Cricetulus griseus: one gene and its partners. The protein of the gene in region 2 interacts with the protein of the main gene of each other region in a biochemical or structural test. Links are inferred from orthologs where the notes say so. Each region holds a gene or a part of one and is shown on either strand. Other genes may lie near its edges. The genes, in order: Pparg, Hdac3, Gtf2i, Nr2c1, Ep300, Nr0b2 and Hif1a.

What was found.
Region 1: the proteins of Hdac3 (region 2) and Pparg form a complex in vitro, tested with the Homo sapiens proteins (3 studies listed by BioGRID, with this or other methods). The link is inferred for Cricetulus griseus from reciprocal best matches to the Homo sapiens genes HDAC3 and PPARG.
Region 3: the proteins of Hdac3 (region 2) and Gtf2i form a complex in vitro, tested with the Homo sapiens proteins (2 studies listed by BioGRID). The link is inferred for Cricetulus griseus from reciprocal best matches to the Homo sapiens genes HDAC3 and GTF2I.
Region 4: the proteins of Hdac3 (region 2) and Nr2c1 form a complex in vitro, tested with the Homo sapiens proteins (4 studies listed by BioGRID). The link is inferred for Cricetulus griseus from reciprocal best matches to the Homo sapiens genes HDAC3 and NR2C1.
Region 5: the proteins of Hdac3 (region 2) and Ep300 form a complex in vitro, tested with the Homo sapiens proteins (2 studies listed by BioGRID). The link is inferred for Cricetulus griseus from reciprocal best matches to the Homo sapiens genes HDAC3 and EP300.
Region 6: the proteins of Hdac3 (region 2) and Nr0b2 form a complex in vitro, tested with the Homo sapiens proteins (2 studies listed by BioGRID). The link is inferred for Cricetulus griseus from reciprocal best matches to the Homo sapiens genes HDAC3 and NR0B2.
Region 7: the proteins of Hdac3 (region 2) and Hif1a form a complex in vitro, tested with the Homo sapiens proteins (2 studies listed by BioGRID). The link is inferred for Cricetulus griseus from reciprocal best matches to the Homo sapiens genes HDAC3 and HIF1A.

What each region holds. Positions count from the first base shown.
Region 1 is NC_048601.1:29,399,470-29,403,694, forward strand, and holds the start of Pparg (peroxisome proliferator-activated receptor gamma), read right to left. Parts: upstream 2,801-4,225; 5' UTR 2,784-2,800; coding exon 2,564-2,783; intron 1,366-2,563; coding exon 1,196-1,365; intron 1-1,195. UniProt on the Homo sapiens protein: Nuclear receptor that binds peroxisome proliferators such as hypolipidemic drugs and fatty acids.
Region 2 is NC_048595.1:199,688,234-199,692,451, reverse strand, and holds the start of Hdac3 (histone deacetylase 3), read right to left. Parts: upstream 2,801-4,218; 5' UTR 2,695-2,800; coding exon 2,640-2,694; intron 2,545-2,639; coding exon 2,462-2,544; intron 318-2,461; coding exon 175-317; intron 1-174. Other genes in the region: Rell2 (RELT-like protein 2), read left to right, coding at 4,176-4,218. UniProt on the Homo sapiens protein: Histone deacetylase that catalyzes the deacetylation of lysine residues on the N-terminal part of the core histones (H2A, H2B, H3 and H4), and some other non-histone substrates.
Region 3 is NC_048597.1:113,419,601-113,423,702, forward strand, and holds the start of Gtf2i (general transcription factor II-I), read right to left. Parts: upstream 2,801-4,102; 5' UTR 2,675-2,800; intron 1-2,674. UniProt on the Homo sapiens protein: Interacts with the basal transcription machinery by coordinating the formation of a multiprotein complex at the C-FOS promoter, and linking specific signal responsive activator complexes.
Region 4 is NW_023276806.1:160,157,024-160,160,984, reverse strand, and holds the start of Nr2c1 (nuclear receptor subfamily 2 group C member 1), read right to left. Parts: upstream 2,801-3,961; 5' UTR 2,329-2,800; exon of another isoform or gene 1,861-2,328; intron 1,253-1,860; exon of another isoform or gene 1,044-1,252; intron 1-1,043. UniProt on the Homo sapiens protein: Orphan nuclear receptor. Binds the IR7 element in the promoter of its own gene in an autoregulatory negative feedback mechanism. Primarily repressor of a broad range of genes.
Region 5 is NC_048595.1:378,783,365-378,786,864, reverse strand, and holds part of Ep300 (histone acetyltransferase p300), read right to left. Parts: intron 2,631-3,500; coding exon 2,574-2,630; intron 1,710-2,573; coding exon 1,632-1,709; intron 611-1,631; coding exon 543-610; intron 1-542. UniProt on the Homo sapiens protein: Functions as a histone acetyltransferase and regulates transcription via chromatin remodeling. Acetylates all four core histones in nucleosomes. Histone acetylation gives an epigenetic tag for transcriptional activation.
Region 6 is NC_048595.1:19,710,461-19,714,475, forward strand, and holds Nr0b2 (nuclear receptor subfamily 0 group B member 2), read right to left. Parts: upstream 2,801-4,015; coding exon 2,260-2,800; intron 540-2,259; coding exon 298-539; 3' UTR 36-297; downstream 1-35. UniProt on the Homo sapiens protein: Transcriptional regulator that acts as a negative regulator of receptor-dependent signaling pathways. Specifically inhibits transactivation of the nuclear receptor with which it interacts.
Region 7 is NC_048598.1:129,464,591-129,468,090, forward strand, and holds part of Hif1a (hypoxia-inducible factor 1-alpha), read right to left. Parts: intron 1,193-3,500; coding exon 1,086-1,192; intron 1-1,085.

The DNA of each region.
Region 1 (4,225 bases), on a different chromosome or scaffold from region 2:
ATGTTTGTAGAATGTGGTTAAATATTGGCAAAACACACACACACACACACACACACACACACACACACACACACACACACACACACACGTGCGCGCGCACGCGCGCGCGTACTATCTGCTGGGGGTAAGAATTTAATAAAAACTAGTTTCCCTTTTTGGCCTATTGTCCATCTGGAACCCAGAAGTACTAACACATGCCTGCCTGGTGTGTTTCGTCTTTATTACCCAGGAAAAGCTCAAGTGAAGCAGTACTTACTTCATTCATTTATGTTTTATTTTGTTTGGAGACCAGGCTGGCCTTGTACTCACAGAAATTCTCCTGCCTCTGCTGCTGAGTGCTAGTATTAAAGACATGCACTACCAAACCCCCAGTATTTATAAGGCAAGGCATTCTATGGGCACATGATAAATATTACTTTATCCCTGAGTATGTTAAGATTATTTTAAAACTATATAAAAACATGAATCTATTCATGTATTTTCCTTATAACTGGGGCAGCATATCACTAACTTCCTAAAGTACTCTTTCACAAAGGAAGTGCATAGTTATCTCTTTTCGCATATTGAACAGGCTTAGATTGACACGGGGCCAAGGAAACATAGTACTAGCTTAGGGCTTGGTAGGAACAAACCTTACTAATCCATAATTTTGCTTTTCCTAAGGGTGAAATCTACGATCTTGCACCTGCTCTACCATGGCAGCCCTCACTCTGGTGACCCCATGCCTTTGATTCACAATTTCTATAGCCACAATGTAGAAATACGTTCAATATTATAGCATTAGTCTATGGATCAAATGATACACAAATATAATCTGTCAAATCGTACGCGTATAAGAGATTACATAGCATGGCGAAAACCACCCTAGGGAAATCAGGGAACTTAGGTTCTGATGCTGGCTCACCACTCACTGTTTTTCTATGACATCTTGGACAAGTCCTTTAAAAAAAATTCTGCAAGATACACTTGGATGAGTGTCTCAAGAGTCATTTTGGAGAAGGGGAGGAGAGGCAGAATAACCCCACTTTTATCAGCTTTTCTTAGATTTTTCAAATATTATATTACTTGAAGAATGAGTTCTGCCAAAAAAATTACTATTTTATCTTAATTTTTTTTACAGTGAGTTTGCAACAGGAAATGGAATAGGTAAAATTTCAGAAAATTCTTGGATGATTTTTTTAAATTCTATTTTTACCTTGCATCCTTCGCAAGCATGAACTCCATAGTGGAAGCCTGATGCTTTGTCCCCACAGACTCGGCACTCAATGGCCATGAGAGAGTTGGAAGGCTCTTCATGAGGCCTGTTGTAGAGCTGGGCCTTTTCAGAATAATAAGGTGGGGATGCAGGTTCTACTTTGATCGCACCTGTGTATTGGGAAATTTGAGAAGATGGTTATCTCATGACAAACAATCCTAAAAAGGCACCGTGGCTTCCCATGGTGGCCTTCATATTTTCATGCCATAACGTTACTATCTTGGAGGAGAGGTGCTGGGGAGCATGAAAATGCACTGGTGCTCAGATAGGAAAAAGTAAGACTTTATCATCTCAGGCAAGTCCCAACACCCCAGAACCTCACCTGCACAAATAAATCCGGAAGGGAATTAAGATCGAGGGAATTAAGTCTGCCCCCTCTCTCCCACATACCCTACAGACACTGCTCAGGGTTTGAAGCCATGCAGCTTATTTGGCAAAAGGATGGGCTGCATCTGGCACTCATTCTGTTATTATGGGTTTCATTGAAATGTTGCACTTTAGAAGTAGTTTTAAACCTTCCTTGAAAAAGCAACAGAAGGAACATGGCTGAGAAGATGCCAAAATTGCAGCCTGAGGTGGCAGGTTATCAACAGAGTTGAGTCAAAAGGTGGTTTGTAAAGTGATCTGTGATAGAGAGCAGGAGAAACCTATTGCCTTTGCTGGTAGTTCAGGCCTAATGAATTTCCATATTTGGCCTTAACCCAGAACCACACAGATAAATACAACCACGTATACTATCTATCTAAAGAAAACAACTAGAAATTACAGGAAGTTCTTACTTATTATCAGGTAATGATTGCCAGTGACACAGGGGTGACTCTGGAAAACCAGCACATCAACCCACAAGATAAAAATCAAGGAAACAGCATCACAGAAATGATACTTTATCTTGAAAAGTTCAGTTCAGTTCTGTTTTTTTTTTAAAGTCTGATGTTTGATGGTAATTTACTTAATGGCATGATGATCTATCAATCAGCTACAGTGTTAAAAATGTAAATTTGTACAATGTAAATGTCACAAACTACAGATTAGAAAAAAATATAACTGTAAATAGTAACTTAGTGGTGACCAGTCATTTGGTCTACAACTATGATTTATTAACTAATAAGAAGCTGGAAGAATTCAAAGTTTACAGGATGGACTAAGCCTAAGATACAACTGGCAATGTAATCAGGCTAGACACGCTCCTAAGAAGGCATCAAGAAAGGAAGGAAAGGAGGGAGGGAAGGGAAGGAAAGGGGAAAAAAGGTTGGGAAGAGACATGTGCTGTCTTCATGTATCTCTTAGCCATTTGAAAAGTGAACATACTTTGGTATTCTTGGAGCTTCAGGTCATATTTATAATCAGCAACCATTGGGTCAGCTCTTGTGAATGGAATGTCTTCATAGTGTGGAGCAGAAATGCTGGAGAAATCAACTGTGGTAAAGGGCTTGATGTCAAAGGAATGGGAGTGGTCATCCATCATAGAGAGGTCCACAGAGCTGATTCCGAAGTTGGTGGGCCAGAATGGCATCTCTGTGTCAACCATGGTAATTTCTGAAATGGACAAAAGAACAGACTATGAGTCAAGTTCTGGAGGAGAAAGCAGTCCTCTAAGAATGCATAGAGAGGGAGCTGAGTTCACTCAGACTACCCAGGGAGGGAGGAGTGCATTATGTCTTCCTAGCACCATCCACATGGCTTTACAGTGAGAAGGAAGTTAGCCTTTACCTGAGTAAAGCAGACACCCACAGTGTGTAGCTACATGGAACAAATCCATCTAAATGTGAGCTCTGCTCACATTGTCCTTTACAGCAGGTCATCAGCTGGATCTGGTAATGGCTATTTCTCTTACTTCAAATTTCATCCACTTTTATTAGGATATAGCTGATAAAGTATTTAAATGATTACCATAGCGATGTTTTGATATAAGTATGCACTGTGAAATAATTGTCATCATCAATTTAATTAACATACCCATCACTTTGTAGAATTGTCATTGTCTCTGTGTTGAGAAAACATAAGATTTGCTTCCTTAGCAAATTTCAACTATATGATACAGTATTGCTAACTGTAGTCATCTTGTTGTCTATCAGTTCTCCAGGGCCTAATGGAAACTCTGTCCAGTCTTCCCATTTCCCTTATGCTCAATCCTCAGCAACCAGGAAGGATGTATGGTATTTGCTTTCCTGCTTCTGGCTTATTTCCCTTAGCATAATGTTTCTTTGGGTCATCTATATTGCTACAAAGGACAGAATTTTCCTTTTAAAAGGCCACACAATACTCCAGTATATGTATATGTGTGTGAATGTATATACATGTGTGTATATTTGGCATATGTGTGTATATACATACCACAGAGGGTTTTTTTGTTGTTTGCTTTTATTTGTTTATGTGTCTTAGATTCTTACATAGATTTCATCTTTTGGCTATAGCGAATAGTGACATAATGTATGCAGGAGCATAAAAATCTTGACATAGTGGTTTTAGTTCCCTGGTCATATGTCTAGCAGTGGGACTGCTGATCACATGGAAATTTTGATTTTTCTGAGATCTCCACATGTGTTCTATAATGTCTTCACAGTATATAGTATACATCTCCAAAAAGGTTTCTGTTATTCCACATAATTTCATCAATTTATGTACCAGTCATTCTAACAGGTATGGAACAGTATATATTATTGTAGCTTTGATTTGCATTTTCCCCAGGGATTAGTGATGTTGAATACTTTTTTCATATACCTGTTGACCATTTGTATGTTTTCTTTTTAGAAATAGCTATGATAGCCTTTGTGCATTGTCTTGGACTGAGATCTTTGGTGTTTTGTTACTGATTTGCAGTTTTCTTGTGTGTGTGTGTGTGTGTGTGTGTGTGTGTGTGTGTGTGTGTGTGTGTGTACACATACATGCATGCATGCATGCCCACTCACATATACGCTTGTGCATGTGGAGGTGTCATCCTCAGTAACACCTTTCACAACCTTTGAGATT
Region 2 (4,218 bases):
GGCTGGCCTCAAACTCAGAGATCTGCCTGCTGCTGCCTCCTGAGTGCTGGCTCAAAGGCGTGCATATTTACTGAACAATCAAATGAGTGAATGATAATTTATTGACTAGTAGGCTCCTTCTACTGCTGCCACAAGGCCTCATTGAAGAGCCTGGCCTCGAGGTGCTTCCCTCACCAGTCATCACCCACGTTGAAGGCATTAAGGCTCTTGGTGAAACCCTGCATATTGGTGGGGCTGACTCTCTGCAGGAAGTCGATGTAGTCCTCAGAATGGAAGCGGCACATGTCATGCTGGGAGGCCTGGTAAGGCTTGAAGACCTGGAGAATGGAGACAAAAGTGAAGTTGTTACCTTGAGCACTGCCTAGATGCTAGCTGAATTTCTACACTACCCTGATCTTACCCTTGAAGGCAGGATGCCTATAAGGCAGAAATTCCTCTCAGGGAGGCCAGCCAAACAGGATCAGCCCAAGAAGGCTACCAGAGTGACCAACTAGACAAGACCTCACTTAATTATAATCCCACCAAAACACTGAATGATACTCCCAATTCCATGACAGGGAACAACTGCCATGGTAACAACTGGAAAGCAAAAAGAGAGAGAAGAGTGCCTGAATTCCCAGAAATTTTCTGCCCAGTCTCAGGGAAAAAAAAAAATCCTTTTCTTTATCAGTCTATTTCTCTTACCTCCTTTTTCACTCTATACAAATTCTTTTTTAATTAAAATTGATTTACATTATTTCACTGGGGTGCGGCAGGGGAGGGGGGTAGGTAGGTATGCATGCCACAGTGAAGCCAGGGATAACTTAGATGTCAATTCTCTCCTTTCACCATGTGGGTTTCAGAGTTCAGACTGAGGTCACCAGGCTTGGAGCCAGGTACCTTGACCCACTGAATCATCACTCTAACCCCCATACCTGTAACCTCTTGATTCCTAAGAGTTGTAAAGTTTATCTCTCATTTATATTCTTGACCAAGAATAAAAGTCCCTTTCACTGTTCATTTGACACATGGTCTTGTTACTGGTTCCAGAATTCCAGGAAGGGGTCGGGGGCCGGGAGGCCCAGTTTGAATGCAAAACCTAACAATAAACCCAGGCATTACTATGCCAGCCCCAGGCTGAGACCACTTACACTGAACCCAGCCATGGAGACTGTCCAAAACATATATAACAATCTCCCTACCCCCATCCCTTAGTGAAGAAGAGATGCTATTAGCCAGGCAAGCTACTTTTATCAAGACCCCTGAGGATCATTTCGTCTAATTCCTCTCTTCAGCCCAGTCTCTATCTTCCCAGCCCACTTCTCCTGGCCCACATGCCTGTTCCTAGCTTCCTCAGTCCTGGTTCCCTCTATACTTATCTCCTCTCTTAAACTCAGGTTCTGGTCTCTTCTCTGGGTTTTTCACCATGGGATCAAATCCATGAGATATATGACAATCTAACTGAAATCCAAAGTCCTAAACCAAAGATTTATTATCCTCGGTGGGGGTAGAGGTGGAAGTTCAAACAATGATTTGAAAATTGGGCAAGAAACACTTTTTTTCCTCTCCTAGAAAACGGATAAATGGACACAGACAATTTTAGGGGATTCAGACTTGCACTAATACCACCTCAGTCTACTGTACACCCAAACCACTGCCTGCGCCTAAACACACCAATGACATGTTGAATACCTTCATGGTACACAAGGGCCAGGCTTGCTACATGAGAGATGGGAGAGTTGAGCAGAACCATATAGATACATTCTATATTAAAAAGTAAATTCCTGCCAGGCAGTGGTGGTGTACACCTTTAATCCCAGCACTGGGGAGGCAGAGGCAGGCGATCTGAGTTCAGAGACCAGCCTGGTCTATATAGAGTGAGTTCCAGGAAAGCCAGGGCTACAGAGAAACCCTGTCTCAAAACAACAATAACAACGACAAAAAAAGTAAATTCCCATATTCTCTACACATACACACCACAAAGGAGTGCAGAGTTGTCCTAGCTCCTTTCAGGTAAATGGAGGAGGAGAAGGCGAAGGAATTATGGGTGAAATGTCATTAGAAAATAGACCCTCATCCTTGGTCCTGAACCACTATCCCCTCTACAAAGAAGAGGGGCTAGAGGTGTAGTTCAGTGGCAAAGTACTCACTTAACGTGTGAAACCCTGGATTCTATTCACTAACACTTAAATAAATGAAGTGAAGGGATGAGCCTGTCGCCCTAACCCTAGGCCAGAGGCTGGTCTCCCCTCAAGTTAAAAGGAAGTCCCATCTAAGGTCAAAAATGTATGTCCCATTACGAAAGGGGACACCCCCGACTCAGTACCACCACCACCACCGCCATGCATATAGGAAACGTTCACGGTGCCTTCTATCCTGCTCCCCCTCTAGCGGCAGGTTGCACCTGGTATATCCAGCCCACCTAGCCTAAGGCCGCAGCTTGCTCCCAGGCCCAAACCCCCACAGAAGTGTCAGGACTCACGATCATCTTCTTATAGAGACCATAATGCAAGACTAGGCTATGAGTCAACGCCAGGCGATGGGGCTTCATCGGGTGCCCAGCTCCTGGGGATAGGGAAGGAAAGAGTTGGTCAGTTCCCACCCCTAGAGTTGCAGCCCTTCCCGGGAAACCTCTCCTCCCGCACAACTCTGTGCCCTACCGTAGTGGAAGTTGCCCACATCGGGGTCGTAGAAATACGCCACGGTCTTGGCCATGATGTTGGGGGACCAGGCCCCGAGCCTCAGCCGCCCGACCGCCGCCGGCCGCCAGCCCCACCCCCGCCGTGCGTGCTGCGCAAGCACGCAGCCTACCGCTGCGGAAAAGAGCCCTCGGCCCCGCCTCCCAAGATCACATCCAGACCACGCCCCTAGTGGGAGTCCCGCCCCTTGTGGGAGCTCCGCCCCTTCCCTTGCTGTCCCGGTCCGGATTCTGAGGCTTGAGACTCCGTGCTTGGGCGGGACCCGCGGCGTTATTCATAGGACACAAGGGCCGTTTCTTTCTGGACGAGGGTCATATCCTCGGGAAACCGAGTCATTCTGTCCACCCACTAGCCCCAAACGGGTCTTGGGGCAGCGTTCCCTCTCTAGGAACCTCGGAAGGTCTGGGCATCCTGCCTCTCTCAGGTGTAGAAAGCCAGATTTTCCCAGGCGCTAGGAAGATTGCTGGCTTTCCACTCATCCGGGGAATGTGAGGGCAGGACCTGTGCCAGACATGAGGGCTAGACCAGTGGCCAGAGCCCCGCCTGACCTCCCGACCACCCACGAGGACCCAGACTCACGCCGCACATTCCTCCTGGGGGAGGGGGCGGCGCAGTCACGCGCACATCTCACTTGCGTTCACACACGCGTAAGGCTCACGCTCTCCGCCCCGCACACCTGTGCTCCGCCCCTTGGTCCCGGGCCCGTGACACGATAGGCATTTGGGAACCCAAGACAGTTTCAGAGGCGCTCCCCCATCTCCTCCATTTCCCGGGCAGGAGTGGTCCGGAGCCTGCCGCGGCTCCCAACCAACCGGTCCACATCTTCCGCCATCCTTCCCTCCCCCCGTCTGCCGCGGCACCGGTATCCGCAGCCACCAGCCCGGAGCCGGTGAGGCGGCATAGGGGGGAGGGGGAGGAAGCAAGGGATGAGCTCCGGGAGGGCGTCGGGGGCCCTGAGCCGGACGAGGACGCCCCTGGAACCGGGACCCGAGCCAGAACCGGAGCGGGAGACAGAACCAAACCACCGGTACCGGGTGGGCCAGGTGGCCAGGGTGGGAGGAACGAAAAAGAGGGGACCCAGGAATGCAAGGAGGGGAGGGGGCTGTACGAGGCCTGACTCAGGCCGGTGTAGAGGAGGTATCAACACTGACTCCAGCGTGTTTTCTGAGCTCGCTGTTTGAGAATTTCGTCCCACCTTGTGCTGCAGTGTCCTTGGAAGGGACGGGGGCGCGGGATGAGCTGTAAAAAATAGCGGTCTGGATGTCAGAAAAGTGGGGCTGGGTCGTGGCAGAGGGCTTTCGTAGATGCCATCTGGCCTCCAGCCTGTGGCGGTCTTGGCCGACCAGCACCCTCAGTCTGGACAGCTCCTAGGTTCGGTCGGGGGTGGGGCGGACCTCTTATTGCGGATCCTAAGATACCTTCCTACTCTGCGGGTACCCAGCTGCAGCCCACTAAACCCAGGAGGCGCCCTGGCCCGCGCTCGCCCCCCAGGGCCTCATGTCGGAACCACAGCCTGGCCTGGAGCCGCCCCAACATGGGC
Region 3 (4,102 bases), on a different chromosome or scaffold from region 2:
CTGCCACTGAAAACATATTCAAATACAGCTGCTATGGCACCATACACTTGGCACCTGGCAGAGGACATGGAGACTGGGCCCTAACCAGAGTTTGCCACTCCTCATACTGAGTTGCCTTACCCAGCCTTAATACATGGGGAGGTATTAGTCTTACTGCAAGTTTGATATGCCATGTTTTGTTGATATCCATGGGAGATCTGCCCTTCCCTGAACAGAAATGGGGGAGTGGAAAGAGGTGGAAGGTAGGGGACTGTGGGAGGGGAGGAAAAGGAAACTGAAGCCGGGATGTAAAATAAATATATAGATTAAAAAAAAAAAAAAGTAAAGGGACAAAGACAAAACCTAACCCCCTAAGGTCCATCATCCTAGCTATTCAAGCAGCTGAGACAGGGGAATTGACAAGTTTAAAGATGACCCGGGATACAGAGGTAATTCAAAGCCAACCTGGACAACTTAGTGACTATTTCAAAAAGTAAAACAGGGGTGGAGTGTGACTTAATGGTAGAATGCCAGTCCATCTTCAAGGTGCTGAGAGCTTTGCTCAATAGGAGTGCTTGAATAAGGCGCATGCTACTGTGTTTCATACTCCAAAATGGTAAATATGGGTACTAGCATGCCCCTACCCAAGGACGACCCAAGGGACAAGAGAAAGTGATCCACATTTTAACAGGGCAAAAAAGAAAAGAACTCATAATCCCACAACATAAAAGGCCTTACAGAAATGAGCGCAGATGAGTGAGAAAGTTTTCCGTGCCTCCAGGGTGTGAGGCAAGATCCAGAGACTCAGGCATAAAGGAGCCCGAGGCAACAGACTTAAAACAAACAAACAAAAAAAACCCTGGTGTAGGAAGTATCAGCCATTCCACATCCAAAACCAGGTGCCTGTGGGTACCGTACCCGCACCCCCTTATTTGCAAACCAGCTTCCCTTTTGCCCTGTAAACGCCCAGAGACAATCAGGCAGGCTGAGCCAGCAGCTAGCACACAAGCAGCCGGGATGCAATGGCCTCACACTTCACCTCCTGTTCCCAAACACAGCAGGCACTCCACCAGCACCATCTCAGATCTGCACTCTCAGCAGTCAAGGAGCACAAAGCCTCGAGGCACCGAGATGTACTAGCGGACAAAACTTGAGAGCTAGACCTGTGATGCCAGCACCAGCACTCACAAGGATCGGAAGCTCAAGGCAAGCCTCAGCTACAAAGCGAGTTCCACGGTAGCCTGAGATACAAAATACCTTACTTAAAAATTAAAAAACAGCCGGGCGTTGGTGGCGCACACCTTTAACCCCAGCACTCGGGAGGCAGAGGCAGGCGGACTTCTGTGAGTTCGAGACCAACCTGGTCTACAAGAGCTAGATCCAGGACAGGCTCCAAAGCCACAGAGAAACCCTGTCTGGGAAAAAAAAAAAAAAAAAAAAAATAAGCAAAACTTGGGCAGGACGTGGTTGCACCGGCCTTTAAATTCCAGCACCCGCCAGGCCGAAGCAGGCGGATCTCTATAAGTTCCAGACCAACCAGGCATACTGAAGTTTCCCGCACCCCCAATAAAAGGTAGAAACTTGAAAAAGAAATGGAGGTGCAGGAGTAAACTTTTTTCCATCCCTTCTTTTGTACCCAGTTACCCCGACGCAGACTGATTATTTCCACAGCCTCAAGACTAAAGTCTTCCTTCCGGTCATTGTGTTTATTTCCATCTCCTCTCCCCCTACTCCCCCCCCCCACCCCCGCCAAAAGAAAAGTCGTGTCCCCGCGGGATCCCAAGGCAACAGCTTCGGACAAAGCCCACAAGGCTGCGCTCCACCTGGGAGCAGGGCGGAGCGCCGGCCGGCCAGGGCGGGCGCTGGCACTGGCGCAGGCTACAGAGCCTAGCAGCTCCCGCCCCCCTGCCAGGGCCCCCGCCGCAGTTACCAGGGCACCGACGACGCCCCGCCCCGTGGTGCCCGCCGGCCAATCGCGCGCGGTCTGCTGCCCTAAGAGCTGCGAGCCCCAGATACACACGCACACACACATACATACACACACACACACACATACATACACACACACACACACACACACACGCGCGCGCGCGCGCGCGCGCGCACACACAAACACATACACACACACGCACGCACACAGCGAGCCCGAGCGCGACCCCACGGGGCTCACTCAGGAGGGGCCGCGGCACCGCGCGCCCCCGGGAAGCCGGATCGGCCAATCAGAGCGAAGGAGAAGGCTGCGCGGCCCCGCGGGGTGCGCTCGCTCTCTCGCTCACGCGCGGGGGGCTGCTCGCGCGAGACCGCCCCTCCCTCCCCGTCCCGCGACCCCCCCACGCGCGCGCGCGCCCGTCTGTCTGTCACGTACGCACGCGCAGAGCGCCGCGAGCCCTCCCCCACGCGCCCCGGGTGCGCGCGTGCAAACTGCCGTCGGCCCCCCACCTCAGCCGCCCCATCCCCCCCAAAGCCGCTGCCCAGGCCCCCGAGTGGAGTGGGCTAGGGGGGGAGGGGGGTCTCGGCGCGTCCTCTTCCTCACCCCGAAGTTGTCCCCGCCGTCACTCACAACGCGCCGGGCGACCCCAACTCTCACGCCCCGGGCGGTGCGCACGAGCCCGACGGGGGCAGAGTGCGGAATAAAGACGCCCCCGTCGGCCACGGCGCCCCGAGGCCGGAGGGGACGCGAGGGCAGGGGACTCACCCGAAGTGCAGCCGGGGAGGGTCGGGTCGGGTCGGGGAGGGGGGACGCGGACAGCGAGCGGGCGTAGGCCGGAGGGGCCTCGGCGGAGGCGAGCTGGCGAGCCGGGTGGAGGTGAGAGGGCGAGGGGGGCCCTGCGTCTCGGCCGCGCTCCTGTCACCGCCGCATGGCCGCCCCCGGCGGGGCCTCGCTCCTCGCTCGGATCGCCTCACGCGGGGGGAAACGGAGGGACGGAGCCCGGGGGTGAGCGCGGCAGGCAGGCGGCGAGCGCGTGCAGGGAAGCGGGGGGGCGCCGGTGCCCCCTTTTCTCTGCTCTCCGAGCTTCTCTCTCACCCTCCTCCTCCTCCTCCTCCTTTTTTCCCCTTTTTTTTTTTTTGCTTTTTTTTTTTTTTTTTGTTCCTCGAAGGTGCCGCTGCGCGTGCGCACGAGCAGCGCCGCCCACCGGGAGTTGTAGTTCTAGACTGGCGCTCACCTACACGGCGGGTGGGTACCCCGAACTATAACTCCCAGACAGCCTTGCGCGATGAACCCAGATTCTCTCCCCACCGCCCCCCTTTAGGCCGAGGCGAAGCGCCGCGGCGCCCGGCCCTCTCCGGCTAGGATTGTCGATGGAGGAGCGCGGGTGGTGGGAGCGAGAACATGGCTGCACCTGGGGCCTGCGCGGCCGTCCGGATGGGGGAGGGGAGTGGGGTGTGTGTGTGTCCTCCCCACCTTGCTTCTGCTGCAGGCCACAACTTCCACTTAAATAACTGTTTGCAACCTACATTCCCTAACAAATTGCAAAGTTGGGGACATTGCAAAGACCAGGGGAGCCCCAGGGCTGGACTATCGCCTGTTTTGCAGAGGGAAGTCCCCCAGCTCCCGTACACAAAGAACTCAATGTTTTCAAAGCTGGCCTTAGAAGCAACCAGAACGAACTTGCCCTAACTTGGTACAGACAACGGATGGGAGGGGGTGGGTAACTCGTGATTTCTTTTTCTCCTCTCTCGAGTCTTTTGCACACCTCTACAGTTAGAAAGAAAACTGGGAAAATACCAATTGTTCCCACAACTACAAAGAGATTTAACTTAAAGCCCCTCCGTCCATTATATATATATATTTTTTTACTTCTCAACTATTTGGTAAGATCAGTGACTTTAGAGAGTAACAACTAACTGTTCGTCTAACTTAAATGCAAAAGTTTGAAAAGCCCGTGTCTGAAGAACTTGTTAATGCAGAGCACTAAATTGAGTGAATTTGTGGAGTTGGTTCGTTTGTTTGTTTTTTTCCTTTTTCTCTTTTTCTGCCCACCCCCTACGCCAGCCGAGTATTCGGGCGCCCTCCCCCACCCGCTGCTTCTCGGTAGGTGGCGGCCACAAGGCTTTTTCCAGCCTCCCAGCCTCTTTGTCGCTTGCTGGAAAACTTTCCATGCAAGCCGGTCTTTTGATGTAG
Region 4 (3,961 bases), on a different chromosome or scaffold from region 2:
TGAAATTGAACAATAAAGTTATGTCTTTGATGGAGCATAAGCTTCATTTTTTTCATAATGATTTATGGCTCTCAAGACATTTGCCAGATTATTTTTAAATTCAATTATTTAAAAATGTTGCTTCAAGGAAGTAACTGAAATATATTTATGTTAAAAGATAAAATCCAAAGTTTTACTAGAAAAGCTAACATGAAAACAACAGGGTAAAAACTGGCTCTTTTGAGACATTTACATAGAGATGATTTTATAAATAAAAACAACCTCCTCAGGCAGGAAAGATGTCCTTCAAAAGGCCTAAAATCAGTTCCTCCACCCACCTAGTTCCAGGAGATCTGACAACTCTTCTGGCCCCTGAGAGCACTACACACCCTCCACACAGATATGCAGGCAAAACACCCATACATATAAATTAATTCTTTTCTGAAAATCTAATGGATCTTCCCCTCCCCAGAAAATCGAAAGTTCATATTCCTTCATACTCCAATATTAAATGTCAACAGGTTTACAAAGCACGATGTAAGTCCAAGGGATTCCCTACGTAGGAGTCACTAAGATAACATTTTAGCAGTTTATCACGATGAACAGAAACCATGGAAAGCAACATCCTCAATACCCTATTTCAATCTCCTACTTTATCTCTGAGACCTGGTTCAAATTCCATTTTACACACTATTTCTGAATGATCCAGTGTACAAGAAGAGTTGAGTGGGACTCAAGCAAACGTCTGTTAATTCTTAAAATTTTTGAACAGAGTCCCATTTTTCTAGAAATGGGAGAGAGAGAGAGAGAGAGAGAGAGAGAGAGAGAGAGAGAGAGAGAGAGAGAATTGATTGTGAGAGCACAGACGGTCTTCTACTTATTGTATAATGTTTGCCTTGGCTATCACTGGGATAGGAATTACACACTTCATCACACCACAGTAGCTATTTAGGGTTTGTTGCCATGGATTTGTCCCCTTCAAAATCTTTCAACTGTGTCACACAGAATGATGAAACCAGTTACATTTATTGGCACCACGTGTTTCTGTTTTGTTTTGGTAACAGACATACTTATCTTCATTAATGACAATGAAAATAACACGAAAACAGCTTTGAAACAAGAGTTAGGAGTTTGAAACCAGACTGAGGAAGCAGTACAGAATGAGCCGGACACATGAACTTTGGTTACCACCACCCTTCCACCACAGACCTCTGGAATGACCGCCAATGGAAAAATTACATTGTATCCAAAGGTTCAAGATGCACAGTCAAAGGTTACTGGACATATTGATACTAAGGACATGCTACCTTTCCTTTATCTTCTACAGGTCTTCTGGGGTTTGGATACATAGCTTCTAAACCAGTCTGGCCTAGAACTCCAGGCGATCTTTAGCCTGGATCCTAACCTCCAGGGGACTGGGATTACAGGGTGCTTCCCCAGCCTGGCTCCTCCTGTGGGTCGCCCAGCATGTTAGTCCAGCGTGCTCGTCATCAATAGTAAATGGTCCACAATAAATTTCCACGTTTCTCACCTTCCTGGAATCTTCTCTCATTTACTTGGATTTTTATCCCCCAAACTTACAATTCCTAAAGCACTCTCCCAAAACGATTTTCATCTTTGCAGTTTGAATAGAACAGATCAATAATGTCTTTCTAAATTCACCAAAGTGGACACATAAAGTTTTAAAAACAATTACCCAACTGGGTAAACAAGCAGACACTGTGTAAAACAACAACAACAAAAAACAAACAAAACAAAACCCCTCCTTCAATGTCTGAAGCATACTTTTAACTTTCAGGGGGTGGGGAAAGCCCTAAAACGATTTAACTTCAAGTTTTTTTTTTTTTTTTTTTTTTTTTTTGCTTGTCCTTTCCAACTCAGGCTGACCTGCTTACTGAAGGCTAAGGGACAACCTGCCAATATCTGCCCTTCATGAGATGCCACCTGCAGGAATTGGAGACAGGACTCTTAACAAAAGGGCTACCGGGAGCTGGGATGAGCCCAGTGCATGGGCCACCTCTCCTCCTAGATACAATCGCCACGGTTGCACGTTCCCTCGGTGGAAGAAGAATCAAGTGTGGGCGGAGGGCGACACCCCGTAGCCCCGGGGTCCGCGGCCCGCCGCTCCCTGCCCAGCACCCACCACGCGCGCAGCCCCGGGGCGGAGGAAGCAGCGCCCAGACGGAAGCGTTCCCCGAGGGTGAAAGGTCACCGTCCCCGCCCGGGCTCCCGCAGCTTCGGGCGGACCGCTACCTCCCGGCACTCGGGGAACCGGGCGCTCGGACACTCGGGCGCTCGGGCCCCCGGGCCGCGACGCTTGGCGGTTGGGCCGTCCCGCACTCGACTTACCCTTCCCGCCGCGGCGGCCGCTGGGCTGGAGAGAGCTGACGCGAGGGTAGCCGAGGCCAAGGGGACAAGGGGAGCTTTCTGGGTTTGTGGATTTGGGGGTGGGGGTCAGAGTTCGTGACCCCTCCCTCGGCTCGGCGGTGCGCGGTGCGCTCGGCGCCTGCGCGTTAGCGCGGTGGCGAAGCGGCCAGCGGCGGTGACGTTCCCTGGGTGAAGCCGAAGGCCCCGGAGTCCAGCGGCGGTTCTGGAAGTCGATTGCCCCCTGCAGGTGCGGAGGGAGACCGCCGCCTCCGCCGCCGCGTGTCGGTCAGATGTCCTGCGAGTTGAGCATCAAGTTCTTAGACCTGCAACTTGCGCCGGGGCCTCCGAGGGCACTTGCAGTCAGTGTGCACATACCCAAACATGCATAATCAGAAATCAACGACAACCGAGGGCTGGGTGATGACTCGATGGTTAAGAGTACTTGTTGCTCCTCCAGAGATCTCGGTTTGATTCCCAGTACCCACAGGACCGACCGGTCAGAACCTTCTGTAACTCCGGTTCCATTGGATTTGGTGCCCCCTTCTGGTGCACCAACATACGTCCAGGCCCAACACCCTACACATAAAGTAAAAATCTTAAAAAAAAGAAATTCGAAAGTCTTTTGAAACCCGACCTGTTGGAAACCCAGACTTGATTTTTAACACGTGGTCCTCCCACCTTCCTCTCCAGTGCTGTAGGATTTTTTTTTTTTAAAGTTTTATTGATTTGGGTGTTTTACCTGAACCTTACGCCTGTGCATCCATCACAAGTGTGCCTGGTGCTGGTGGAGGCCATCAAATCCTCTGGATCTGAAGTTACAGATAGTTGTGAGTGGCCACATGGGTACTGGGAATTGCCAGTGCTCTTAATTGTTGAGCCATCTCTCCAGCCCCTTAAAGGAAGTTTTGAGTAACAGTAAACAACCTAATCAGTTTGGGATAGATGTCTTTGATCTCTGCAAAACTGGACTTGGTTTTATAGGCACTCTCATAGATTATAGTGTGTTAAGGAGTCTGGGTAGAACCCAATCACATACAACTTCCCTGCAATATGAGAACAAGCGGAGGCAAAATCACGTCAAATTGTACTTGGGTGTGAAGGAGCCAGTTGCCCATTTCGGCAGCCATAATGGCCGAACACATGCTTGCTATAACCTTGCCTTGGTCACTTAGAGGTCAGATGCCTGCCTCGTGGCAAGGAACCAATCAGAAGTTAGCTGGTGGTGCTATGCTTAATGGCTCTAGGTGTGCTTTACAGACAACCACACAGCAATGACACACAGAGCATAGCAACCACCTGGGAGGGCCTATGGGCCTTAACCAGTTGACCAATCAACAAAGGGCAAACCCTCCAAGCCTGGAGGCACACCAATCCGGAGCCTGTGCATACCCCTAGACACTCCCCTTATGCTGCCCTATAAAGATCTGTACGCAGCGGCTTCAAACTGTCTTTGCTAGCCATCTGACATGGCGGGTGGATCAAAGACCCGAGCTAACATGGGGTTAGCTCGTTAAACAACAATAAAGCCTCATGCAATTTGCATCAAGCTTTCACCTCCATTCTGTGATTGGGGTGGCCGAGGTCCTGGGCTAAGATCCTGGAAGCCTGAGCTTTC
Region 5 (3,500 bases), about 180 Mb from region 2:
TATGGCCCACATTTTAACATGTGTCAGAACAGAAAAAAAAAAAATTAACAAAAATCCCTTTTAAAGATTTTTTTTTATAGTTCAGTATATAGAATTATTTCATTTTGCTGGGCGTTGGTGGTGCACGCCTTTAATCCCAGCACTTGGGAGGCAGAGGCAGGCAGATCTCTGTGAGTTCGAGGCCAGCCTGGTCTCCAGAGTGAGTGCCAGGATAGGCTCCAAAGCTACACAGAGAAATCCTATCTCAAAAAACAACAACAACAAAAAACCCAACAACAACAACAAAAAGAATTATTCCATTTTGGTTAAAAAATTTCTTTTCTTTTTATAGAGGGTCTCATTACTTAGCCAACACTGGTCTCAAACTCAGAGATCCAGCTCCCTCTGGAATACAGGGATTAAACACTTGGAACAAACAGTGAAAACTAATTTTGGCTGGTTTCATATTCACTAGCAGTCATAGACATCTGGGATTAAAGGCACAAACCACCACTACTTGGCTATATAAGTTTTAAATAAGAATTATCTCAAATGATACTTACTTTTAGCAGAAAACTTATTTTCTTTCCTAGTACGTGCAGTTTTCTTTAAACAGCCATCACAGACAAACCTAAAATGTAATTCATGATACAGCTTATTATAACATAAAAGTCAATTAGTTCAATAAGAGAGCATTCCACAGTGAACAAATCCTAGCCCCTATGACATAAACTTGAATCTCTTAACTTGTTTTTCCCCCCTGGGAAAAAAGATCAGCTCCTCTCTACAAAATGAGAAGTACCCTTTCTGAATCTCATTTGACTTCTAATTAATCTTTACCATAGTACAGCTATGTAACTTACTGGTCTCCTAGCCCCACAGAGTCATTCTGCATACCATTCCAATTTATGATGTCACATGAAGGAGGACTATGTAGTCCATGGCTTTATACCAACACCTATACCCTTTTAAAGAATGTACTATCAGTAAACATTTTCAAGTATGGCAAATTTAGTTATAGCTTACAGTAGCTTTAATATCAGCATTAAAATTCCTTCCTTTATTTTATGGAGACAGTTTCTCACTGTGTTGTCTAGATTTAAGTTCTTTCTTTATTTTTTTTAAATGTGTATGGGTATCTGCCTACCAAAGGATGACAGGTGGGTCCCATGCCTGTCCAGCCGTTACAGTTGTTTTTTTTTTTTGGGTGTCCAAACACTTTTAAGTGCTTTATCCAGTGAGCCAACTCTTCAGTTGCTCTTTATAGTTTTAAAAAGGGTTTGGACTGATCCTTTTCTAATTGAAGGAGAAAAAAAGTTCTGGCAATATTAGGATAGAACCCAGAGCCTAACTTGTAGCAGGAATGTGCTGTACCAGTAAGCCATATTCTGATCCCAAAGAAAATACTTAGAAGACTGTAACTTTGCCCAGATACAGTAATGTAGCACACCTTTGATCCTAGGACTCTGAGGGCACCAGAGGAGGGTTCTCGAGTTCAGGGACAGTCCAGTCTACATAGCATGTTCCTGGCTACATAGTGAGACCCTAACTTGACCACAATCAAACAATAACTTTGAACATATAATACAGTCTTGGATAAGAATGCTCATGGAAAGAGAACAAAATACTTCTGCCCATGTCCTAAGCCTCACCCAGATGGCCAGATGATCTCATGGTGAAGAACACAGATCTGGTGCATCTTTCTTCCACATTCTGTGCATTCAACAAACCTAGAAATGTAAATGATCAATTCTAAGACTGATCTTGAATTATCAGCAAACAAAATGTTCATTGTTTCCTGTAATTTCTAACAATTCAATAGTCAACCACCTGTCCTGCCAAAGGATTAAAAAATTAGTTTAGTCAAGATTTTTGGCTTTAATGTAATAGGTTAAATGAATTTGAAAACCATTAACGCATAGCTGTTAAATCAACAATCTAAAATTTCAATGCCCAAAGACCGAGAGAAGGTAACTGCTGAGACTATAGAGTCATCCCACCCCATTTTCAGAGTAACCAGAAGGAACCTTTGCTTTTTTACTTTTTTTATTCCCCTGAAGCTAAGGACTGAATCCAGGACCTTGCACTTGCTTTCAAGAACTCTACCACTGACTGAGCTATATCCCCAATCCCAGGAACCTGTACTTTTCATCAGTGCCCTAGGCTCAGAAAGCCAACATGTGGCTAAGGATTCTCCACATGCCCTGGAAATGCAGGAGAGAGCACAGCCCTGGGCAGTAGTAGTGTGATACTTGACAGTGAACACTGAAAGAACACTAACTGTAAGGGTGATAGCCTTAGCCCCGGAATGTTTCATATGTTTTTACTAGCTGTTAACATTTATGACATGGAGATGTTAGCATAAGAATATTAAACTTAAAAAAAAAAAAAAAAAAAAAAAACAATAGTAAGTCATCTCCCAGCACTTGGGAGGAAAAGATAGGTGGATCTCTGAGTTTGAGGCCAGCCTGATCAAGAGTGAGTTCCAGGACAGCCTTCAAAGCTACAGAGAAATCCTGTTTTGAAAAACCAAAATTAAGTTATCTTGGAAAAAAGGCCTAGAGTGCATTGACAATTCAGAGGAAACTACTTACAGTTCAGGATCTAGCGTGTCATTTTTTCTCTTGGAAAACTGTTCTTTATTTATTGTACTAAGGAGAGAAAATAAACATAATAAGAAAAAATACACATACAAAACATAACTTGAATATATAGCAATCTGATGTTTGAACAAAATTCATTTTCTGTATTTCTTTGGTCATAGAAAATTCAGTTGTATGTAAGGAACGTTCTACTTCATAATTAAAGGTGTGTCCTTCTGGAAATGGGGTCTTATTACATGGCTATGGCTGGCCTTGAGCTCACATAGCTCTACCTGCCTCTGCTTCCCTAGTGTTATCATATCTGGCTCTTCTCTTTTAAAGGCTGGTTCACTATATAATGTATACAGTATATAAATTTTATGATCTCTGGTTCCCAGACTGTGAACATGGTGGTTAGAAACTATTTAAGAATAGTTTTAGCCAGGCATAGTGGTGCACGCCTTTAATCCCAGCACTCAGGAGGCAGAGGCAGGTCGATCTCTGTGAGTTTGAGCCCCGCCTAGTTTATACAGTGAGTTCCAAGACAGCCAGAGGTATATAGTCTTAAATAACAAACAAAGGCTGAGGATAGAGAAATGCTTGAAGTTTGATGCTAGTCTAGAATAGAGTAATATCCTACCCTCATTGACACTCCAAAAACAACACAAAAACTAACCAGTTGATATGTCAACCAGAGGTGTGTACCTCCAATCCCCAAATTAGAAACCAACCTGTACAACATAGTGAGATCCTACTGGGGTGGAGTTTAAAAAAAAAAAAAAAAATCACTCCTCACTATTTCAGGGAGGTTTGCTTTTAGGAACCAGATGGTCAAGTACTGTATTTTTCCATGTATATCTGCATACCAGAAGATGGTACCAGATCTCATAACGGATGGTTGTGAGCCACCATGTGGTTTGCTGGGAATTGAACTCAGGA
Region 6 (4,015 bases), about 180 Mb from region 2:
CTTGCCCCTTCCATAGGCAACCGTGGTGTCAGCAGGTCATACCTTTTATTACAAAAATCAATAACTTAATTGAGTTCTATACAAAGTCAGGAGGAATTCTGGCCTGAAGTACAGCCTCATTCATGCTCCCATCTCTGTCCCTGGCCCAAAGACTTTGGGGGGCCACCAAGGACCTATTAGGCAGTTAGTATACTGTGTCCAAACCAAGGAAGTCCAAGCTGGGGGCATGGCTGAGGTGAGGGCTGCTCCTGGGGAGTTGAAGCTCCCCTTTGGAAGCCCTGGATTCCACTCTGCAGGTCACCTCAGCCAAAGCATGTCTTCCAGCAGTTCAGCGATGTCAACATCTCCGATGATAGGGCGGAAGAAGAGATCCACCAGAAGGCTGCATGAAATGTTCTTGAGAGTAGAGGCCATGAGGAGGATTCGGGCCAGGCGGCCTTGGCTAGCAGGGTACCAGGGCTCCAGGACTTCACACAAGGCCCAGTGAGCCTCCTGCTGCAGGTGGGAGATGTGGCAAGAGGCATGGAGGCCTGGCACATCTGTGGCAGAGAGGGTGAAGAGGGCTGGTGAGCAGCTGCTCCGTGGAGGCTAGCCCAGGGTGTGAGAATGTTAGTGGCTCCCCCCCTCATATGCCGGGGTGCAATGCAGGGCCTCGTGCATACTAGGGCATGCTTGGCAGGCATTCTACATTTGGGCTGAACATTGCTGGTTCCTTTAACATGCCAGGCGATAGTTGTACCACTGAACTACATTCCCAGCCCTTACAGATACAGAAGAGACCTAATTGTTTGGTGGTGTTAGGCAACAAACCCAGGACCTGTAGCTCGGGAGGTAATACTTTACTAATGAGTTCCACGCATTGGCCCACTCTGCCACCTTGGAGGTTTCAATCACCATCTCCTACATTTTATTCCATTTATGTGGAGATAAGGGCTGAGACATACGAGTTAGAGAGATGGCTCTGTGGTTAAGGGCACTTCCTGCTATGACTGAGGACCTGAGTCCGGTTCCCACCTACATTGTGGCTCACAACTGCCTATAATTCCAATTCCTGACACCCTCTTCCGGCTTCTGTGAGCTCCCACCAGATGATACACATACATACAGGTAGAAACTTACACACATAAAATAATATCTAAATAATTCTTTTCTTATTTTGTTTTTTGAGACAGATTTTCGAGGTGGTGACACACTTTTAATCCCTGTACTTGGGAGGCAGAGGCGGTTAGATCTCTGTGAATTCAAGACCAGCCTGGTCTACAGAGCTACTTCCAGGACAGTCAGAGCTGTTACATAGAGAAACTCTGTTTCAAAAAACAAAACAAAAAGCCAAAACCAAAAAAGAACCAGAGGCCGGTTGTTCGTGGCAGGCCTTTAATCCCAGCACTCGGGAGGCAGAGGCAGGCGGATCTCTGTGAGTTCGAGGCTGGCTGAATTTGAATCCCAGCACTGCCACTGTGAGCTCAGTGATCTTGGACAAGTAGTTTCATCTTTCTGAGTGACCTTAGATGAGTAGTTTAAATCTCTGTGCCTTAGTTTCTTCATCTATCTAGTGGGAACAATGACAATACTTGTTGCCCACTACTGCTGTGAGGTTTAACCAAATCACTATTTGTAAAACCCTTAGGCTAAGTCCTGACATATGGGAAATGCATGTGATTCTTTGGTACTGTTACTGCCGTTTGGCGTTACACTTTAACTTCCAAGGCCTGTCTCTTGTCTTCCTCAAAGTTACAAAGAATATTTTCCCATGCCAGGCATGGTGTTAGTTTGAGGTCAACTTGCTTTACGTAGTGAGTTCTAGGCCAGCCAGGGTTCCGTGGTAAAACCGCCTCATTTCTCCTCATCGCCCCTCACCCCACCCCATCTGCTCTCCACCCAAGAAGTGACCACTCCCCACCCTTCCATTCTTTCTGTGTGGCCGCTCTGAACCCACGGAGGACTTTAACCTTCAGAACTTCACTGTGCAGCCTGCCCTTGAAGAAGGCAGACACTGCACACGGCGGTGTCTGCCTTACCCACTCTACCCTTCCAGCACAGCGGCAAAGACCAATCTCTGCATTAGCTTGACTTGCATTCCCAGGCCTGTTCTGCCTCTGCCTTACTGTGTGGCCTTCAGGTAGTTGCTTAACCTCCCTGTCTCTCCTGGGAGATACCTGTTTGGAGCTAACAAGGACGCAAAGAGACAACGATTCTTTTCCTGGACGGGTCCTGTCCCCTCCCAGCGTGGCCCCCATCCAGGAGTGTCTGGGAGCTCACCTGGGTTGAAGAGGATGGTTCCTTTCAAGTAGGCATACTCCTTGGGACCCAGCTCAAGGCTCCAGAAAGACTCCAGACAACGCTGGAGCCACTGCACGGCAGCCAGTGAGGGCTGTGGCCGGTCGGGTAGCTGGGTACCCTGCGTACCACTGCTGGGTTCCTCCAGAAGGATTTTTTTAAGTATACTGGGCACTGGAGCCTCAGCTATCTCAAAGGTCACAGTATCTTGGGCCAGCCCAAGCAGGAAGAGAGGGCCCCAGCAGACCCCCAGCAGCCGTCGCTGATCCTCATGGGGCAGGTGGCAGAAGGACGGCAGGTTCCTGAGGAACGCTACTGTCTTGGCTAGGACATCCAAGGCCTCCCGGCAGGTGCGCTGTGGAGCACTCAGACGGACAGGCCGGTGCTGCTGGCAGAGGCAGTGGCTGCGAGATGCGGGTGCAATGGGCCTGGCCCTGAGGCTGGGGCTTAGAAGCGCGTACAGAATAGCAGGGCGGCCTGCAGAGCCCTGGCAGGGGCAGCCCCCAGACTGGCTGGAGTTCATGGTTGGTATCTCGCTCCTGTTTCTTCCCAGCTATCGGTCCTCTGTACTGTGAGTGCTATTTATATCCTCGATGGCGGGAGGGGGAATGGCCGTGGAACCTTGACTCCAGAAGTCATGTTCATTGAAAAAAAAAAAAAAGCCAACATACACACACAATGCACACATACACTGACCCTGGCAGGACCGGAGGGGGAGGGGCACTGGAGCTCCACGTGGCGTTGCTATCGCTTTAGTCAATGAAGTGGCCATTGCAGGGCACAGGGCCACCTGCCCACTGCCTGGATGCCCTTTATCGGATGACTCAGTGTATAAACAAGGTCATTAACCCAGGCTGTACCAGGGCACCAAGGTCTCAGGTGCTCAACCAGCCAGTGGCTGTGACTGCTGCTGTTTCGATTGGAGCCCACTTTCATGCACACAAGACCAGGGTTCTCACTGAGCCAAGGAGCCAGCCAGAGAAAGCCAGCTAAGGCCTTGAATGCCTGACCCAGCCTGGAAGTGCCTTATCGCTGCTGTGTTTGCCTAACCTTGGGGCTCTGCTCCTGTTGTCGGTAAGGAACAGGCTGCAGGGAAGGGAGCCAGGTCCCTGGGGGACTTTGCTCATTGTACAGTCTAGGAGGTACCCCCTCCTGTGACTCCAGTGCAGAGGCCCCGTTGGAGGAAGGCCATTCCAGAGCCCCCTGCTCCCATTCTGTGCTCCAATAGCTCCAGAGGGGCTGGGCCTGCTGGCCCTTGCAAAATTGTTACTTACAAGGCTGCCAGTTACTGAGGACCCACTCTATATGGATCACTTTCCCTTGTAATGTTGAGAACTTCCCAGAGAAGTGACCTGCTCAAAGTCACTCCAACCAGAAGGGACAGAGCACAGATATGTCTGACCTCGAAGTCATCCTTGTTTGCCCCTCCCCCCCCCCCAATCAACTGTGCAGCTGAAGTGTGAATTTCCCAGCACAGGTGGCTAGCAGCTACCCCCACTCCCAGCCCCCAGCCCCTGCCTGGTCTGCAGGTGTGGCCCACCTATGGTGCGACTGGAAACATCTCTGCTAACACGCCGCTTCTCTGCCCTGGATATTTGTCTTCAGTGGTTAGAGGCGAGGTATGAGGGAAATGGGAGGTCCTTGGCTGTGTCAGGTTCCTGACCTTTGGCTAGCCTTGCCTAGCAGGTTTGTTGTCGCCACACTCTTGGGCAACCTGGTGCTCCGGATGAGGAGCCCT
Region 7 (3,500 bases), on a different chromosome or scaffold from region 2:
TCAGACTAGAGACTGATCACAGGGTACATTTAAGAAAATGGAGCTGGGTAGTGGTGGTGCACCTCTTTAGTCTCAGCACTCAGGAGGCAGAGGCAAGCAGATCTCTGTGAGTTCGAGGCCAGCCTGGTCTACAAAGCTACATAGAAACCCTGTCTCAAAAATAAAAAAAGGGGCTGGCCAGGTGGCTCTGTGGTTAAAAGCACTGGCTGTTCTTCCAGAAGTCCTGAGTTCAATTCCCAGCACCTACATGGCAGTTTACAACTGTCTATAACTCCAGTTCCAGGAGATCTCACATCAATGCACATAAAATAGTTAAATAAATTCTTTTTAAGAAAAAAAAAAAGAAAGAAAATGGTACCAGTTTTTTTAAGCACCAGAGAACCAATCACTGTAAAAAATTATACTCAGAACATTTGAATATATAAGTTCATGTCATACTATAGCCTTCTGTCAATTCATGCAGTCTAAATTAATTACTGACTTAAGAGAATGTAGTAAATCAATCATGATGATGCCGTTGTGAGTATCCATGCTCTGACTACAACTTAGGCATACTCTGTAGTTCAAGGCAAATTACACTAATTCAATGATACTCAACTCAGTACCCTCAATCATATTGGGAAGTCATGTTTAGGTCCAGATTAAATAGGCAAGTGAGGAATTATGAAGTTTAACTTAGTTTGGTATCATAGATTTATTTGAGTAAAATTCAGAAACCTCCTATATGTCAAGGGTGTCAGTTATCACATGTGTATACTAATCCTACTCACTAGTTCATGAACAAATGCTTTGTGACTACCTCCTATTGACCAACCACTGATTTCAGTACATATGTACGTAGGCTAGATAATCTATAATATTTGACTTTTATGGGATACTTTATGTATTTATTATTAAATGACTTTACTTTTTGCTAATATTTGTAACAAAACAATAATTTCATTATCAAGACATCTTATGAAGGGGCTGTAGGATGCTTGTCTAAGGAGACTGGGTGGTAATTTTAACTAGAAAGTAGAGGTACAGTACAGACTGCAGGACTTAAGCAATGACACTATTTCCTTGAGTTCCTCTACTGTACTTACTGTCATGATGAGTTTTGGTCAGATGATCAGAGTCCAAAGCATGATAATATTCATAAATTGAGCGTCCCAAAAGTTCTTCTGGCTCATAACCCATCAACTCAGTAATTCTGTTTAAAAAAAAAAAAGATTATCTTTTGCTTAATAAGTTTAGAACTCACACTTAACTATTCTATACTTTGGCTGGGCAGTGGATTCCTTTAATCCCAGCACTCTGGAAGCAGAAACAGGTGGATCTCTGTGAACTTGAGGCCAGCCTGGTTTACTGACAGAGTTCCTGGACATCAGGGCTATACAGAGATACCCTGTCTCAGAAAACAAACAAAAAACCAAACAACAAAACCAAAAAACACCCCATCCCCCCCCCCCCCCCCCGGCAAAACAAACCAAACAAAAAAACCCCAAATTCTGTACTTAGTATAAAGTCACTTAGATCAGTCCCTGATATCTGACTTATCCCTTTTACCCAAACTCATGACCTATTTTTTAAAACACATTTCATTATACACACTGTTGGTATCAAAGCAGGGTATATTAGTAAATCTTAATGATGCTAAATGAAATGACAAAAGTTCCAAAGACAGTCACAATTATCTTAAAATACAGTATAAATCTATAGCAGTTTATTTTTCATTCAGTGAAAATCTTTACCCTATTTTTAGGCCTGTGGCAAGGCCTCACTTTAATATCAACTATAAAATTTCACTATTAAGCCAAGGACATCCATACTAAATGGAAAGTAAATATTAATTTTCTAAAATTAAGAGGATTTCACATGAAAGAACGGCATCTAAAAGAAAAAGGGCTGAAAACGGATTCAGGGAGCCTCCTGGTCCCTGGGTATCAGCCTGGAAACCATGAGGACCCATTTTATGAGAAAGACAAGTCTGTCCTCGTCACATTAAACCAATTACAAACATTTTTCACTGAAGTCTTTCTGGGAACAAACATGAACCAAGTGTTGACACTTCTCAGTTTAGATTCCAGAGGACTTAAAAAAAGCCAACAAACAAAAAAACCAAGGTGCAGGTAAAAGATACTCATATGTCTAAAAAGCAAACACCTAATTACAGAATGGGCATAAGGAAGGTATCTTTGTTCATAACAGTATGTTAAATAATATAGCTTAGCTGTTACAGTTTAAGATCTGCCATTTACTCTAAAACCAACAAAGCAGATTTATTGAAGCATAAATCAAACTTTGACTCTTCAAAAAGGGATAACCAAAATACACCAACACTAGATGGCAGCATTACAAAGATAAATAAAATATACTTTAAAAATATGTGTTTTCTCCTTCATCCCAGAATGGTAGTAGGGATTAAATCTAGAGCAGTGATTCTCAACCTTCCTACTGCTGAGACTCTCTAACACAATCCCTCATGTTGTGGTGACCCCCAATCATAAAATTATTTTCATTGTTACTTTATAACTAATTTTGCTACTGTTCTGAATCATAATGTAAACATCTGTGTTTTCCAATGGTCTTGGGCCCCCTGTGAAAGGGCCTGTCAACTGTCAAAAGGGACATGACTCACTGGTTGAGAACCCTGATATGGGGGCTCACAATGCTAGACAAAGGTCCTCCCTACCCCATCTTGGTGCTGGTGATTTGGAGCTGGTGATTTGTACTAGTTTTCAGTTTTAAATGTTTGCTAAGAATTTCTTGCTCTATACCACCTCAGAATCAAGACACAGAAAAAAATTTGCCCAATTTTAAGAAAACCTTTACATCACATTTCTAGCATCCAGGACCATTAAAATGGGCCATCAGGTAAGGCACCTGCTACCAAACTTGGCAGCGTGAATTCAGTTTCTGGAACCCACGTGGTGGAAGGTGAGAATGAACTCCCACAAACTGTCCTCTGTCCTCTACCTTTGTGCTGTGACCCACATGAACCCACATACATGCACTCACACATGCTACCGCTGAGTGTGGAGGTGCATCTAGCCCTAAAAATTATTTGAATTGCTCTTACATAGTTTTACACACGTAAATAAAATTCCAACATAATGAAATACTTTTTAATTAAACATTCATGTTTCTGGTGTAATTCTAGACATGAAAACACAATGAGAAAACCTAACCTGTGGGCAATCTTCTGGTAAATAACTTGCTTGTCATTTTATTATATTTAGATTTAATTGCACACTTTTTCTTTCTTTCTTTTTTTTGAGACACAGACAGACTACAAAGTCCTGACTAGACTGGAGTCCGTATGTAGTCCAGGCTGGCTTTGAACTTTTGGTGACTTCCCTGTCTCAGCCTCCCAAGTGTTTTGAGATCACAGACATAAACCACCACATCCAGAATGTACAGCATCTTTTGATAAATAAAAATCTTCCCATCTACAATCCTACAAGAAACAACTGATGCATTTCTAATAAGAAATTGGCATAATCTGATCATTACCTTGG